Linked DNA regions of Canis lupus familiaris. The protein of the gene in region 2 purifies or fractionates together with the protein of the main gene of each other region. This does not show direct contact. Links are inferred from orthologs where the notes say so. Each region holds a gene or a part of one and is shown on either strand. Other genes may lie near its edges.

The links.
Region 1: the proteins of EIF3L (region 2) and ZNF746 purify together in Homo sapiens (affinity purification with mass spectrometry; 3 studies listed by BioGRID and IntAct, counting the BioPlex papers as one, with this or other methods). This does not show direct contact. The link is inferred for Canis lupus familiaris from reciprocal best matches to the Homo sapiens genes EIF3L and ZNF746.
Region 3: the proteins of EIF3L (region 2) and EIF3B purify together in Homo sapiens (affinity purification with mass spectrometry; 8 studies listed by BioGRID and IntAct, counting the BioPlex papers as one, with this or other methods). This does not show direct contact. The link is inferred for Canis lupus familiaris from reciprocal best matches to the Homo sapiens genes EIF3L and EIF3B.

Annotation. Positions count from the first base shown.
Region 1 is NC_049237.1:15,145,180-15,150,722, forward strand, and holds part of ZNF746 (zinc finger protein 746), read right to left. Parts: intron 4,691-5,543; coding exon 4,391-4,690; intron 4,263-4,390; coding exon 4,181-4,262; intron 3,039-4,180; coding exon 2,925-3,038; intron 1-2,924.
Region 2 is NC_049231.1:27,760,859-27,766,401, reverse strand, and holds part of EIF3L (eukaryotic translation initiation factor 3 subunit L), read left to right. Parts: intron 1-893; coding exon 894-1,048; intron 1,049-1,758; coding exon 1,759-1,929; intron 1,930-2,969; coding exon 2,970-3,467; intron 3,468-5,543. UniProt on the Homo sapiens protein: Component of the eukaryotic translation initiation factor 3 (eIF-3) complex, which is required for several steps in the initiation of protein synthesis.
Region 3 is NC_049227.1:14,939,179-14,944,721, reverse strand, and holds part of EIF3B (eukaryotic translation initiation factor 3 subunit B), read left to right. Parts: intron 1-2,580; coding exon 2,581-2,773; intron 2,774-4,630; coding exon 4,631-4,750; intron 4,751-5,059; coding exon 5,060-5,117; intron 5,118-5,311; coding exon 5,312-5,440; intron 5,441-5,543.

The DNA.
Region 1 (5,543 bases), on a different chromosome or scaffold from region 2:
ATGCAGAGCCCTCACAGCCACTGCCAGGATGGCAAGTGTGGGTGTGGAGGGAGGAGGGAGGATACCGTGACGCACAGAGGTCAGGAAGAGCACCAGGAAACAGAAAAGGAAAGGTGTTAAGTAAGGCAGGAGAAAACCAGGAGAGGAAGTACCATCAAAGAAATGAAGCTGGGAAGAAAGCGAGCAATGGTGGCAAATGTCACCAATGGTAAGACCAGATCTTTAATGCCATGGGGGGCCCCTGTGGCCTTGACAGGAGTATTGATGGAAGGGCCTCCAGAGTGGGAAGAGGAATGGGAGAAAGCAGGCACTGGAGGAGGGTACTCCTGGGGAGCAGGACACGAAGGTAGAAATGGGGCAGTTGCTGCAGGGATGTGGGGTCATGAGTGGTCAGTGCCCAAACTGGACAAGTGACAGCAAAGGCAGAGGCTGGTGGGAAGGATGGGGAGGCAACCCGAGGCCTCACCAAGGTAGCCTGCGCTGGGTCTGATGCCCAGTGGAGACAGGTCTTTGGAGGAAGGGGTGGACACAGCAGCAAACCCAGAGACCAGGGCCTGGGTACAAGCAGATAGGCTGGTGGGGTGGGGGCTGTGAGTTGTTTCCTTTTTTTTTTTTTTTTTTTTCTCAATTAAACAGCGTTTTTTCAACAGGAAAACCATTCTAAGCTGGTGGGCCAAAAAAACACAGTGGGTGATTTGGCCTGTGGGCCAGAGTTTGCCATCCTCTGGGCAATTGAATGGACCAAGGAGACACTGGGTGACTTGGGAGGGCAGTGCTGAAGGCCCCCCAGCCTGCAGGTGAGAAAAACAGGGCTCAGGAGGTCTCTCCAGCTGTGTGCAGCTGCGTGGGAGCAGGTGCAGATTTAACCAAGATTACAGTTCTGCCAGGTGAGTACAATGACGAAGAGGGGTGAGGGGGTGAGGGTGACACTGGGCCAGAGCCTTGGCTGGGCAAAGAGGGAACCCAGGACCAGCTGGACCATGAACGGGCTGGATGCTAGGGTCAGGGCCTAGGAAGAGAGATCTGCAAAAGAAGGAGAGGGGTATGGGGTGGGGACAGGTTCAAACTGAGATGATGGGAGGGGTGCATCACTGTCTGCAGTGGGTGCTGGGGCGGGGAGTGACCTTAGGGTGGGTGGTGGAGGGGGAGCGGAGGCTGGGGACCTCGCAGGGCCTCTGGGAATGCTGCCCTAGCCGGCCAGAATGGCAGGAGCAGAGACAGGGTCTGCAGGAGGCAACTGAGGGAGAGGTGGGGTTTCCAAGGAGGAGGGGAGCACAGGGGCCACATGGAGGAGCAGGGACACGGCTGTCCTGGATGTGAGGAAGGGGTGGGACGCAGTGGATGCAGGCTCCAGGATGCAAGAAGAGCTAGGACTCATTTGGACAAGAATGAGGGGGATGCTCGGGGAGAGCCTGGGGATCTGAGGCCTTGCTAGGGACTGAGTGCCCCAAAGTAGTGGGAAAATTTAGGAACTGAAGACAAGTGGGATGGCAGGTCCAACAAGGGGCTGTGCAAGCACAGACAGGGTGCGGAGCGAGCTGGGGGGTGGGGTAGGGCTTTTCCAGCTGATGTGGGTGGGGTGATAGGGTCCTTGATGTCAGGGGAGGTGGAGAGCGGAATTTGTGTTGGAGGGGAGGGCGTGTCGGGGGTCTTACCAGCAGCCACCGTATTTCTGGGCCCGTTCTCACATTCATGAGTGGCGGGGTGGGAAGCGGAGAGGCCCCCACATCTGTCCCCCCACCCCAGGCTAGGAAGGCAGGCTCCATGTCTAAGCCTCTTCTCCATTCACAGAGCGTTCTGCTTAGTGATCTCTCTGTCCTCCCCTTCCAGCTCTGGCCTTGGCACCTAGCATAGTCTCAAGGGATGTCTGTGGAACTCAACTGGTGACAGCTGTCCTGAACACCGACTGTGTGGCCGGCTCTGCGCATGGGCTGCTCTGGCAGCATGACACTCTACTTGCCTACTTACGGTGGAAGACGCATGTCAGTAATCACAAAGGAAACACAGTAGGACTTTTTTAGTAACACAGGCATTCAGACAAGGGAACCCGAGGCAGGTGGGACAGGCAAGGCAGTTCTGTGCAGAAAGTGGGCTGAGCCTGCAGAGGCAGGGTCTCCTGGCCAGGGATGGACTGTCACCTCCCCGCACCTGCCGAGGGCCTCACTTCAGTAACCTGGCTTTCCTCACGCAGCCACCTGCCTCCTCCTGAACTTTCAGAGGTGCTGGCTGGCTCCAGGAAGATCTGAGGCAGGGATATCGGGTATCCAGATCCACCTTAAATAAATCTGTCGTTATAATCATGTTGAAACACGTGGCCAGCCACTGGGATTGGCTCCTGGCTGGGGGTAAGGCTGGCTCTTCAGAACACTGGGAAGGAATCAAATTTTGTCTTCAACACACTCCTACCTTCCCGATCAATGTCCTATCTTCTCTTCCCCTGATCTGTGCACTGGCTCTATCTCTTTTCTTTTTTTAGAATTTTACTTTTTTTTTAAAATTTTATATACTTATTCATGAGAGACACACACACAGAGAGAGAGAGAGAGAGAGAGAGAGAGAGAGAGGCAGAGACACAGGCAGAGGGAGAAGCAGGCTCCACAAAGGGAGCCCGACGTGGGACTCGATCTCAGGTCTCCAGAATCAGGCCCTGAGCTGAAGGTGGTGCTAAACCACTGAGCCACCAGGGCTGCCCTATCTCTCTTCTAAAAGACTAGGTTTGCTGCCTGTTTTCCGCACTGGGAAGTATTCCTGGAGTGTCTGCAGAGCAGGCTATAGGTCATAACTATTAAAAAACTTAGACTTAAAACATTCGAGTCTGAGGTTTCTTCTTGGCCCTTCCTGGAAAGGTCATACCCCCTGTGGCCCTTTACTTCCCTGTTTCCACCTGACTGCCTGGTGTCCCTTGCCTTCTCTCAGCTCCTCACCTGGACTTGGGTCCACAGGAACATCTGGAACCTTGGGGCCAGGGCGACGCCAGCTGCACGGCTCCTTCCCCTGTTCGGTCTGGGAGAGGACCTCGGGCTTGGAGATGGCATAGTCTGAGGAAGGACACAAAGGTTAGCTTTGGCCATGGAGTCCCATTCAGAGCTGGGGACAGGCAGCCTAGGAATCCAAGAGTGGCCAAGAAATGAAACTTCTAGATTAGTATAGAGCACTGGTTCTCCACCAACAGGCAATTTGTCTCCTAGGGGACATTCAGCAGTTTGGTGTCTTTTTTTTTTTTTTTTAATTTATTCATGAGAGACACAGGCAGAGGGAGATGCAGACTCCATAGAGGGAGCTTGACGCGGGACTCGATCCTGGGTCCCCAGGATCAGGCCCTGGGTTGACGGCAGTGCTAAACTGCTGAGCCATCCAGGCTGCTCCGACATTTTTGATTGTCACGACCGGGGGTTGGGGGGTGAAATGCTCCTGGCACTGGTGGGTCAAGACCAGCTGCTGCTGAACATCCCACATTGTACAGACCAGCCCCACAACAATCATCTGGCCCCAAATGTCAGTGCCCAGGTGAAGAAACACTGGTAGAGTCTCCCCATTAGGCAGCAGTGCATTTCTTCAAACTGAAATATAATGTCACGCCTACACCTGTTCCCATCTTCACTGAGCATGCCTTACTGCCTACAGATCTGAGGTCACACAGAAACCAAAACCGTGCCAAGAGGAAAGAAGCCCTGGAAGGAACAGCCTCTTGGGGCTACCATGTGTGGACCGTGACAGTGGCCCCAGGGTCTGAGGGAGCAGAGCCTCGAGGGATGAAGACAGCACTGGTATGGGAAGCATGGTCTGCCCAGATTCTTCACTAACCCAGAGGAATGTCACCAGAAAGACCACATATTCCTGTAAGAGAAGGCCAAAGGAATCTGGGCCCATGACATCCTGGACCTGAGAGCAGCCAGAGGCTTGACTCTGTCTCAGCAGGACAGAGACGTCCATGCTCCGTGCCTGGTTAGGAGAAATGCCACCACCCCTCTCTGTCTGGCAACCTGTGAACTTCACCGGGTACAGGGAGCTTTTGACTCGGTCACCTGGTACTCATCTTTAGTAAGAGGAGGAAATAACTCTTTGCATGGTCAGAGTTTCTAGTGATTTACACATCCTGGTGACGAAAGCCACCAGCATGGAGAGGAGTTTGGAGACACTCAAAATCACATTTAACAGAAAAATGAGTATCAGGCCTTACCCAGGGACACCAGTGTCTCGTAGTTGCCCCGCATCACGTGCTTGTAGAGCTCCTTCTGCCACTCGTCCAGCTTGCCCCACTCCTGCTCAGAGAGATACATGGCCACATCATCAAAGGTCACAGGCACCTGGAACAGTGTCACGCACGCTCACCCACACACTTACAGGCACCACCCCTCAGGCCATCCCACCCCAGGTGCCTGAGGGATACCTTGGGGACTTCTCCTTTGCTGCCTGGTGGCAGCCGCAGAATCCAGAAATTTCGGTTTTTCAGCAGGTTCTCCATGTTCTCCAGCCGCCTCTGCAGCAGCCCATACTCCTGCAGCAGGGTCCCCAGCACGGCCCACTTGCCCTCCAGCTGGTTCCCGAACTCCACAGCCGTCTTCTCGCAGTCCGCCAGCTTCTTCTCGGCCATCCCTGTCCGCCCTTCTAGGGAAAGCAAGCGGGCAGCCTGCGATTCGATCTTCCTCTCCATGGCCTGAATTGTGGCTGCCATCGTCCACGGAGAAATCTTTCAGAAACAAAGAGAAGTCTGTGACCACTCAATCCCTCCACCACGTTCCTGGAGCCCCTCTCCCCCAGGGGGAGGGGGCTTGGCAAGGGGCGCAGAGCTCCTATTGAAAGTGGGGATTCCCTGTGCCACATGCATGATCTCAGCCTAGCTATCAGCTCCTCTGGGTAACCCAGGCACCACCGATGTGCGCTGTGCACCACCTTCCATCCACGGCCTGGCACTCACTGCCCTGCCCGGTGCCCTCCCGCATTTGCCCATCCCAGCTCTCTGAAGGCAGCACTGCATCTTTTGTAGCACAGCACGTGGCCCGTGGAAGGTGCTCAGTGCAATTCTGTTAAATAAACAGTGACTTAGCACTGCCAGCGCCTTTCAGGGGATAAATAGTAAACTGCAGATTTACTAGAGCCCAGCCAGCACCTCCCATCATAATCACACAGGAACTGTCTACGGATGATGACCTAGCAAAAAAAACAGCTGGTTCACTGAACCGGCACAAACATGAGCATTGCTCAACTGCTTTTTTTTTCCTTTTTTTTTTTTTTTTTTTAAAGCATCTCGTGCCTCTTTTTAATAAACATAAAAATCAAACAGCTAATTCCTCTTCCCCCAGTACAATCAGATGGTCTCCTCCCAGCTGCTCCTCCTTAAACTAAACATCACCATTAGTGTAAATCTCCCCTGGCCAAGAGTTAGACTTTTTGACACAGGTAGTGTGGCTGGTCAAGGGGACAAAATCAACACAGGTCCACTGGGGCCCCAGAGTCTGTTTCTCTCACCATACCCACCCCTCTCAAGGGCCTGAGACATTTTTGTAACTACCCCAGGATCAGTGGCACACCTTACAGATTTT
Region 2 (5,543 bases):
GACCCAGGATCGAATCCCATGTCGGGCTCCCGGTGCATGGAGCCTGCTTCTCCCTCTGCCTGTGTCTCTGCCTATCTCTCTCTGTGTGACTGTCATAAAAAAAAAAAAAAAAAAAAAAGCTCACATTTTCATTGGCAGTGGCACTGTCAGTTCTTACTGAAATGTAACAGGCTCACCTCATTCATTTATAAGAAAATGTCTGCCAGATACTCTAAGTAACCATAATTTGTCAGTCATTCTTTTAAGTAAAAATGGTTTTCGTGAAAAAAAGTGGCTGGTTCTTTTACTGCGTGAGGGAAAGAATACAGTAATTGCTAATGCAGTTTGGTACCACTGCCTGGTTTATGCTAAGTTGTGAGTCATTTGTACCCACTGTTGTTTTTGCACCATCAGTGCAAATCTCACTCTAGTGAGAAAGACAAATAGGATCTTAGTGTTATTAGGAAAACAGCTTTGACCCCATGAACTTATTGAAAGTAGTTGCCTTGATGAGTAACTGCTCCTGATAAAAGGGGCCATCTCCATATTCTCAGGTGTCTTGGGACCAAGAAAATAACCAAAAACCACAACAGCCACTCCCCTCACGCAACTCCTGTTGGTAAATTTAAAATTAGTATAAGGCCAGGGACACCTGGCCAGTCAGTAAGTAGAGCATGTGATCTTGATCTTGGGGTCATGAGTTCGAGCCCCACATTAGGTATAGAGATTACTTTAAAAAGATTAGTTTAAGGTCAGGCATGTTGCCTCTGGGTGTTCCTTTGAAGGCAGTTATTCCCTGTTGCAGGAAGCTTTAGAGGCCAGTAGTAGGTGAAGAGTTGATTAATATTCAAGGCTCAGGTTTCCCTTCCTTCACCTGCCCCTGCTGAAATGTTCACCATGTCTATTTCTCTCAGGTGACCCCGAGAGTGTGGCTGGCGAGTATGGACGGCACTCCCTTTACAAGATGCTTGGGTATTTCAGCCTGGTGGGGCTTCTGCGTCTGCACTCCCTTTTAGGGGATTACTACCAGGCCATCAAGGTGCTGGAGAATATTGAACTGAATAAGAAGGTGATTACTTGTTTCCCCCTGCCCTGCTACCCAGAGCCAGAGACTCTGCTTTGAGAGAATCTATAAGGACAAGTTTCAGGGAGCAAAAAGAAGATTCTTCCCCAGGCCATTTGAAAATTGAGACTTGCATGTGGACAAGGTGCTTTCTCTTTGTTGCTTAGTAATACTTGAAATGTTCAGCGGTCTTTCTATTTTCAAAACAATGATAACGTAGATTTTTATTACTCCAGTTTCACTATTTAAGGAATTTGTGAGAGACTTAGTTCTAGGATAGTATAATGATGATTAGCTGTGGTGGTTTTTTCTTAGCCACAGAAAAACTGGTATTTTCTGGACACGTGTGTATGTATCATTCAGTCTTGTTGATCTGTTTCTTTATTGGGTTTACCTGGAAAATCAAGGAGTAGAAAGCAAGGAAGAATACATAACTGAGATGTGGAGGGATATGGAGCTGAAAGAAATGTTAAGGTCACCTGATCCAGTCCCTTTTTATTATATCTAACAAGATGGAGTTCTCAGGTCATATGATTTAGTAAATGGTATAATCTGTATTCAGAGCCTCTAACTCCAGAACCAGGGCTTCCCCTGGGTAGTTCAGGGCTTCTACAGGGGGCTTCTACTTCAGCTGACACTGGACCCTGCCAACTTCCAGACTCTCTCTGGGATGTATTGATTTGGGGACTTACGGATGCTTCTGCCTCCTTCCACAGAGTATGTATTCTCGTGTGCCTGAGTGTCAGGTCACCACATACTACTATGTCGGTTTTGCATATTTGATGATGCGTCGCTACCAGGATGCCATCCGGGTATTTGCCAATATCCTCCTCTACATCCAAAGGACCAAGAGCATGTTCCAAAGGACTACATACAAGTATGAGATGGTAAGGAAGCCTTTGACCAGCTTGATGTCTTGGTACCTATGCCAACAGTTTTTGGTAAATGCTATCCAAAATTTTGCCTTTTATATGTCCTTTCAGTAGGATGATTTCTTAATGGCTGGTCTACTCTTAGTTTCTTTTGTTGTGCCTATTATTTTCAGACCATGAACTCCTTGACGATAAGGACAGTATCTTTTGTTTTACTTTTGTCCCCCAGCAGTGCCTACATTTATTCAGCAACAATTTGCTGAGTGTTCACTGGGCTGTGGGTGTTTTAAAGTGAGTTAGTTGGGGTACAACCCTCAAGCAGTTTGCCATGGAGGAGGGAGGGTCCAAGACATGCATAGAATTGGAAGGTATCTAGGCAGAGCAAAGGTGCTGAAACTTGTAGTACAGTGATGTAGCAGCACAATTAACTACTTTGTTGGAGGGCCGTAGATTAGTCAAATTGGGGTTTTGGTTCTGGGTAACCTTCACTACCCAGACTCCCAGCTGAAGTATTTAATCTTTATAGGCATTATGGTGCCATCAGAGTTTCTGGGTGACTTGGTCATAATGATGTGGGAGGATTGATGTGCCAGTGAAGTGTGGTGGGCCAGGGAGAGTGAGAAGAAGGCTCTACTAAAGAATCCAGGAGCCAGGGTAGCCTGGGTGGCTCAGTGGTTTAGCGCCATCTTCAGCCAGGGCATGATCTTGGAGACCCAAGATTGAATCCCATGTGGGGCTCCCTGCATGGAGCCTGCTTCTCCCTCTGCCTGTGTCTCTGCCTCTCTCTCTCTCTGTCTCATGAATAAATAAAATCTTAAAAAAAAAAAAGGAATCTAGGAGCCAGTTCCAGAGGCTCTGGAAGTGGGCCAGAAGTTCAGTAGATCTAGAGGGCAGATTAGGAGAGACTTCGGGAAAGTTAACTGACCGAGGTAAACTAGGGAGAAATCAGAGGTCTGAGCGTAGTGTACTTGGGAGGGTGGTGGAGCCACGTTGGATGTGGGACCTCAGAAAGTCTATCTCATTTGACCCCGCACCAATTTCTCTTGCATCCCCAGATTAACAAGCAAAATGAGCAGATGCACGCGCTGCTGGCCATCGCCCTCACCATGTACCCCATGCGAATCGATGAGAGCATTCACCTGCAGCTGCGGGAGAAATACGGGGATAAGATGCTACGCATGCAGAAGGGTGACCCACAGGTCTATGAGGAACTTTTCAGTTACTCGTGCCCCAAATTCCTGTCACCTGTGGTGCCCAACTATGATAATGTGCACCCCAACTACCACAAGGAGCCCTTCCTGCAGCAGCTGAAGGTGTTTTCTGATGAAGTGCAGCAGCAGGCCCAGCTCTCCACCATCCGTAGCTTCCTCAAGCTGTACACTACCATGCCTGTGGCCAAGCTGGCCGGCTTCCTGGACCTCACAGAGCAGGAGTTCAGGATCCAGCTCCTTGTCTTCAAGCATAAGATGAAGAACCTAGTGTGGACCAGTGGCATCTCTGCCCTTGACGGTGAATTTCAGTCGGCATCCGAAGTTGACTTCTACATTGATAAGGTATGGCTGCCCCCTGGCCTCATCCTCTGGGGCCCTCTGTCTATCCATTCAGTAGGCAGTGTTTACCAGGTGCCTGCTATTCTGAGCATTTGGGTGGGACTTAGCAGTGAACAAAATCAGCAAAGATTTCTGCCCTCGCACCCATATTCTAATGTTAAAAAACAGGCATTATCGTGAAGCAGACCATGTGGTAGGTATCAATGCAAAATGAACACACCTTTTTAAAAAATTTTTTTTTAAATTTTTTTTTTAAATTTTTATTTATTTATGATAGTTACAGAGAGAGAGAGAGGCAGAGACACAGGCAGAGGGAGAAGCAGGCTCCATGCACCGGGAGCCCGATGTGGGATTCGATCCCGGGTCTCCAGAATCGCGCCCTGGGCCAAAGGCAGGCGCCAAACCACTGCGCCACCCAGGGATCCCTCTTTTTAAAAATTTTTAAAGAAAAAAGTTTCATTTGGGCACAAGTTAAGATGGCTGCTTGGAAATACACAGTCTTCACAAAGAGGAGAGTGCTCCAGGGAAGGAACAGTTGGGCAAGAGTATATACGTTTTTGTTTTTGTTTTTGTTTTACATAAAGAGTTATAAGTCGTGATGAAAGACTTTCCAGAAAGGCTGTAAGACTGGAGTCTAATGGGAATCAGCAAGGGTTTTTTTCTTTATGTTTGGAATGCTGCTTTTTGTTTTTGTTTTTTAATGAAGCAGCTGTACAGTGTGTACTTGGGACAGGAACAGAACCCATGCTTTGAGGTTTTGCCAAGACATTTTGACCCTGGGTAAATGTTTTACGAGGAGCAGGGCCCACAGTGAAAAGTTGAAAATTTCCTTTATTTTCTCATAGGTAGAAATTGCCAAGTGCTATGCATTTAAGGGTAATGGTGCTAGAAGATAGAGGTTGCATTATTACATAAGGTGCTCCAGGTAGCCTTTGTCCAGGAAGTTAAATTGTAGCTAAGACTTGAAGGAGGTGAAGAAATTAGCCAAACAAGTATGTGGGGGAGCAGCATTCCAAGGAGAGGGAGCGGTAAAGGCAAAGGCCCTGGGGTAGGAGTGAATCCAGTATTTTTGAGGGACAGCTTCAGTGTGGCTGCAGTGGCCTGTGAGAGGGTATTGTGGCAGAAGAGAAGATTGGAGAAGAAAGCAGGAGAGGATGGTACAGATTTTTGGAAGTAACTCAGCAAGTCGGAGTTATTCTCCTGACTTGTCCCCACCCTAGATTAGTTAGCACCTAGATTAGTGCTGCCTGGTTTTGAACTTGGTGTAATGGACTGACATAGCATGTGCTCTTTCTTTGTGACTGGCTTCTTTTGCTCAGTGTTACATTTGAGAGCATCGCCATGCACAACAGTCCATCAGTGCTCACTGCTGCAGTAGTTGGCTGCGATTTTCCCATTCTAATGCTGATGGACATTTGAGTGGTGTAGGTTATTACAAAAAGTACATGTGGTTTTAGAGACTGGCTGTCAGTGGTCCACTTAAGGGTTTTTTTGTGTGTGTAATAATTTTATAGATGCTTATGAATGCAGAAGTTATAGGTTTTATTTATTTATTTATTCATGAGAGACACAGAGAGAGGGAGAAGCAGGCTCCACGCAAGGAGCCCAATGTGGGACTCGAACCCAGGAATCCGGGATCACACCCTGACCCAAAGGCAGGCGCTCAACCACTGAGCCACCCAGGTGTCCCCGCCCCCCACATCAACTATTTATTTATTTGTTTATTTATTTTTATGATAGTCACAGAGAGAGAGAGAGAGAGAGGCAGAGACATAGGCAGAGGGAGAAGCAGGCTCCATGCACCGGGAGCCCGATGTGGGATTCATCCCGGGTCTCCAGGATCGCGCCCTGGGCCAAAGGCAAACGCCAAACCGCTGCGCCACCCAGGGATCCCTCACATCAACTATTTAAAGTCCTATTCGAATTTATTCTTGGTGCCTGACATATATTCTTTGGCAGTATTGGTAACCTGCTCCATCCTCCTATCATAACTTTGTGACCCAGCTGGACTAGCCCCAATTATCTAGATGGTCTTTTTTTTTTTTTTTTTTTTTTTTTTTTTTTTAATTTATTTACTCA
Region 3 (5,543 bases), on a different chromosome or scaffold from region 2:
TCCCGGGTCTCCAGGATCGCGCCCTGGGCCAAAGGCAGGCACCAAACCGCTGCGCCACCCAGGGATCCCGGATGGGTTCTTTTGAAAGCAGACTGGGTCTCATGAAGAACCCTCTTGAGGTGCCAGCATACTCCAGTGAGATCATCCTGACTCCTAATTCTGAGACGCTATACTGTAACTCAGTTGCATTGTTCCCAAGGTCATCTGTTTAAATTTTCAGCTGCCTTTGATGCTCAGCCAGACAAGTACATGACAAAGGTTTTTTTTTTTTTTTTTTTAAGATTTTGTTATTTATTTGAGAGGGTGTGAGCAAGCAGGGAGAAGCAGATACAACCAACACCATACCACCCCCACCCCCACCCCCACCCCCACCTCCCTGTTGAGCAGGGAGCCCTATGCAGGTGGGATCCCAGGACCTTGAGATCATGACTTGAGCTGAAGGCAGATGCTTAAACGGCTCAGCCACCCGGGCACCCAAGATAAAGTTTTTATCTCAAGATATTTTCTTTTGGGCCCTATCAAGTATTATTTATCTTTACATTTGGCATTTAGTTTTGAGAATTGCTTCTTTGTTTCTCTCGGAGGCAGGTTGGGAATCCATTGGGCAGGAGTGACCAGATACACGGGCTGGTGACGATGAAGGATGTCTCTCTCCATTTTGCGGTTGCTGCTCTTACTCCCATACTGTACATGGGCACATTCTCATAAATGAGACACTTAAAGATTGTGAGAAGGAGTCCACAGTTTATATAAAAGCTGAGCTTATTATTGTAAACCTTGTAAATTCAGATCAGGCTAAACAGGCCATTTAATTGTATGTTAAGTGAACTTTAAAAACGACTCAAGGAGCTGACTCTAGCCTCAGTGGTGAAGATGTCTCTTATCGCTGTGACTCTAGTTAGAGCCTCTTCATTTTTTTTCTTTGCTCTCAATTTTAGACTCTTTGGAATTTGAGAGGCAATTGCTTTTTTTTTTTTTTTTTACAGTAATGCTTTTAATATTCATGAAAGTGTTGGAATTAATTAGATAGTTTGTAATAGCTTGCTTCTTGAAATTAAAAGACTTTTTTCAACTTTGAAAAATTTTTTTGACCTTTTTTGTATGGGAACTTTCCAGTACAAAAGTAGAGAAAGTACATATTAACTTAGAATGACATATAGGAAGGAATAGTTATGGGCACGTATCCTGGATAACATGTTGAAATTTTTGAATAGAATTCAGAACTTGGAGTAATAATTGAGTTCTAGGACATGCAGGTACACAAGTAAAAGCCACCACATTCCTCAGCTGTTTCTCCTTTGGGCTGTATGTACTGATGTAGCTTCATCTGTCAGTGGCTCTGACAGCATCTTTGATCGGTTTGAGCTCCTAATGCAGCCAGTGCTCTTTGTAACTTTATAGCTTTCTAGACTAGCAACTAATTAGGTTAAGGATTTGTGCAGAATTTATATTAAATGTTCTCTGGTAACTCATTTGACCTCTGAATGTCCGTCTCCAGCAGCAGGCCTGAGGTAGACAGCAGTAGGCAGCACCCAGGTGGCATTGAATCTTCTGGACAGACTGTACCATGTCCATTCTCACACCTGTGATCTGCTCCCCAAGAGCTGCTTTTCCTGGTCCTTCCACACTTGTTCTTTTCTTTCTCTTACCTAGCCATTCACCTTATGCAAATGAAGGAAATCTAAGATGTTTGCGTACTTAAGATGTTGAATACTGAAATTTTAATTTTTTTTTAAGATTTTATTTATTTATTCATGAGAGGCAGAGACATAGGCAGAGAGAAGCAGGCTCCATGCAGGGAGCCTGATGTAAGACTCTATCCCAGAAGTTCAGGACCATGTCTTGGGCGGAAGGCAGGCACTAAACCGCTGAGCCATTCAGGTATCCCTAAAATTTTAATTTTTAAAGTAGGTGATGTGAACAATACGTTTTTAGTTTGGGGTTTTGTTGTTTAAGTTTTCAATTTTTGAATGTTGTTATGAAAATAGTGGTTAACATGTACTGCTTAATGTGTCTTGAGCACAGTCCTAAACATTTGTGGACTTACTATCTGAATGGCTGGTGCCTCTCCAGCATCCTGAGGCATCTCATGGAATCCCAGGGATCCCAGGTCCCTTTGCCATTTGCTCTCAGGAACCTGTGGATTCTCTAATCTCCTCTTCTTACTAGGCTGAGGCTATTTTACATAAAGAGTTGTTTGTTTTGTCTTAACCTGAATGGGAAGAAAGTGCCTGCTGGTGGGTTTGCATTCAGGGTGGGTCAGAAAGCCCCCACCCTGCTTTCCCTGAGAAAAGCTGTTCTCTTTGTTGGCATTCTGCATAAAAAGAAAAAATCATTTAAAATCTTCCATTATTTTCAGGAATGAATGGACATATTGATGGACAAAGGGAGCATGAAGAGTTAAAATCTTCCTAACTTTTTCAAGTTTAAATTTTGAGTCAGTTCAGGGTCATGATCTTTTGTTCATAGTGAAAGTGCTTATTCACTTTTTACTTCTTCGGAATTTCTTTAGCGTGCTAACCGTATTAATGTTTTGCTTGGACAAAAAAAAGTAATTTGTCAAATCTTTCACCTGTACAGAACTGCTGGGAGACATTCTCAAGGACCGGCCCCAGGAGGCCGACGGGATCGACTCGGTGATTGTAGTCGACAACGTTCCTCAGGTGGGACCCGACCGCCTGGAGAAGCTCAAAAATGTCATCCATAAGATCTTTTCCAAGTTTGGGAAAATCACAAATGATTTTTATCCAGAGGAGGATGGAAAGACAAAAGGGTGAGTGGTATTGGTCCCTGACACCCTTTGGTGGCAACCAGGTGGCACTGGGGTCCCTGTGGACACACACACACACACACACACACACACACACACACACGGTGCACCCTCACCTGGCACGTCTGCCTCTGTTCATTCTGCCTCCCTCAGCTGAGAGCTCCACAGGCAGGAGGAGATGTAGGTGATCCTGAATTTGGGTATTGTGAGTTGGCTGCTAAATTCTTAAGAAATCAGAGCTTGGAATTTAAATCTTCTGCCATCAGAGTAGTAACTGATACAAGATACATCCTGAATAAAGGGGACCAACAGATTGGAAGCTGACAAAATTTCAGGAAAATTTTACATATGGTATTTTATTGATTCTAAGATTCTTTTTCCTCCTCATTCATATCTCTGAAATGGGGATACTTCTTACAGTTTAGGTGAAAGCAGTGTGTCACTGCTTAATTAGCAACTTTTTTTCTACTGTTAACCTAAAATGGTGCAACTATTAAAAATGGTAGCATGAGGTACGAGTCCTAGAATTCACTTTTTAAATTTAATGTGAGGTTCTGTATTATAAAAGTGATTGTAGCTCCTTCATTTTCAGGGCTGTGCTATTCTGTTGTATAATCAGCAGTTCTGTCAGTTGACATTTAGCATTTTGCAGTTAGGGACAGTCTTGGACCCATCCCCTTTAGAAGAGGTGTGAGCCTTTCCTTGCTATACACTTGGAATGGAATTGGCTTGCTTAAAATGCCCATGTGTAGTCCAAGTAGACAATGTCAAATTATGTTTGGGTGATTCTCAGCCGTTTTCACTCAGCCCACAGAACGAGTTCTGTTTGCTGCTCTACAAGCTTGTCAGAATTCTCCATTAGAATTTCATGTGACACTGGCCTCAGAGTACAAGGCAGGAATGAGAAGATGATAAAACTTAGACTTTTTAAATTCAGATTTTGGAACTACCTCAGATTTAAAGAAATCTTTTTTTTTTTTTTTAACTGCCAAATACAGGTTATGCTCCTTGCCTTTTCTATTTCAGAAACAATGTAGAAAGGATACATTGTAGGATACATTGTTATCCTGAAGGATAATCTCTTTTTGACCAGCAGTTGCTTGTCTTGTATGTTTTGTTATGAAGCACTCACTGAAAGCCTTTAAAATTTTACTTTCCATGAGGAATTCATTTATTTATTTGGTGGGGAGGGGCAGAGGGAGGAGAAAGAGTCCCAAGCAGACTGTGCTGAGTGCGCAGAGCCCGACACAGAGCTTGATCTCATGATCCTGAGATCAGGACCTGAGCTGAAACAAAGATTGACACTTAACTCTGTCACCCAGGAGCCCCCATAATTTTGCTTTTATTCTTTTAAAGTTTGTAAAATTTATTTTTATTTGTAGCAAAGCAGAGTTTATTGAGCAATAGTAAGCTGATAATACAAGGCTTCTGAAGAATGAGGAGACCTGAGAGAGTTGCCCTTTATAATTTTACTCTTAATGCACAATATTAGACTGTGCATGGTCTCAAGATTTTTAATAGCTTTATTTGAAATTTGCTGTATAATACAGTTGCTTAGTCTTAAAGTGTATAATCTCATAAATTTGACAGGTGTACATCTGTGAAACTGTTACGTGGTAAACATTTTAATTAACTTGTGTAACTTGTGATTGTGGCCTGAAAGACTTTGGATCTTCTGTTAGGATTTCGTTTGTGTTTAGGGAAGCCCTGTGCTCTCGTGAGTTGACTCTTGGGGATGTGGTAGATGGGTCACTGGCCTTGATGGTGCTTACAGTAACGTGGACGGGTCTTGGTGTGTTGAGCATGGCCTGCCCAGTCTTAGAGTCTGAAGTTGTGCAAAATGGTCTTGTCTTGATTCAGGTATACATTCCTGGAATACGCATCTCCTGCCCACGCCTTGGATGCTGTGAAAAATGCTGATGGCTACAAGCTGGACAAGCAGCACACGTTCAGAGTCAACCTGTTCACAGACTTTGACAAGTAAGTTCTGGCCTGGTTATGATCCGGATCTTCACCGGACATGAGAGGCTTAGCACCTCTGGGGCGGTGTGGGGCGCCTTCCTGGTAGCCCTGTCCCCAGGCAAACCACTGTGGGAATGTTTTCCATCCCCTCCCCTGGCAATCCTGACCAGTAGCACCCTCACCACAAGGATCCCTCGCCCATTATTCCCACCACCACCCCAGTGGGCAAGGGGCCGCCCCACACTGCCTGTGGCTCAGAACTCCCAGTGTTGCTACCACCCCTTGTAGTTGTGCGCATGTTTCTCATTAGTGTTTCCTTTATTCTAGGTATATGACCATCAGTGATGAGTGGGATATTCCAGAGAAACAACCTTTCAAAGACTTGGTACGTTAATGGAGTCTATATGTGCTTGAAAGAAAGGCTAGGTAGCCCCGTGGCTTGCGGGGGTGAGCGCCTCAGGCATTGGCAGCTGCTGCCCTGAGTCGGTCAGGTCTCCAGGGGCATCAGGCAGGAATATGGCTTCTTGGGTGAACGGTGATGAGACATACTCTGTCCCTTGCCTTTGGTTCTTTTTCCAGGGGAATTTACGTTACTGGCTCGAAGAGGCAGAATGCAGAGATCAGTACAGTGTCATATTTGAGAGTGGGGACCGTACTTCAATATTCTGGAACGACGTGAAGGACCCTGTCTCTATCGAAGAGAGGGCGGTGGGTACTTGCTGCCATGTGGGGATTATTTACTCTGTGTTTCTGTAACTGGGAACCTGGGTACCAGGGCAGGGGAAGTGTCATGTCTTTCCTATCACATTTC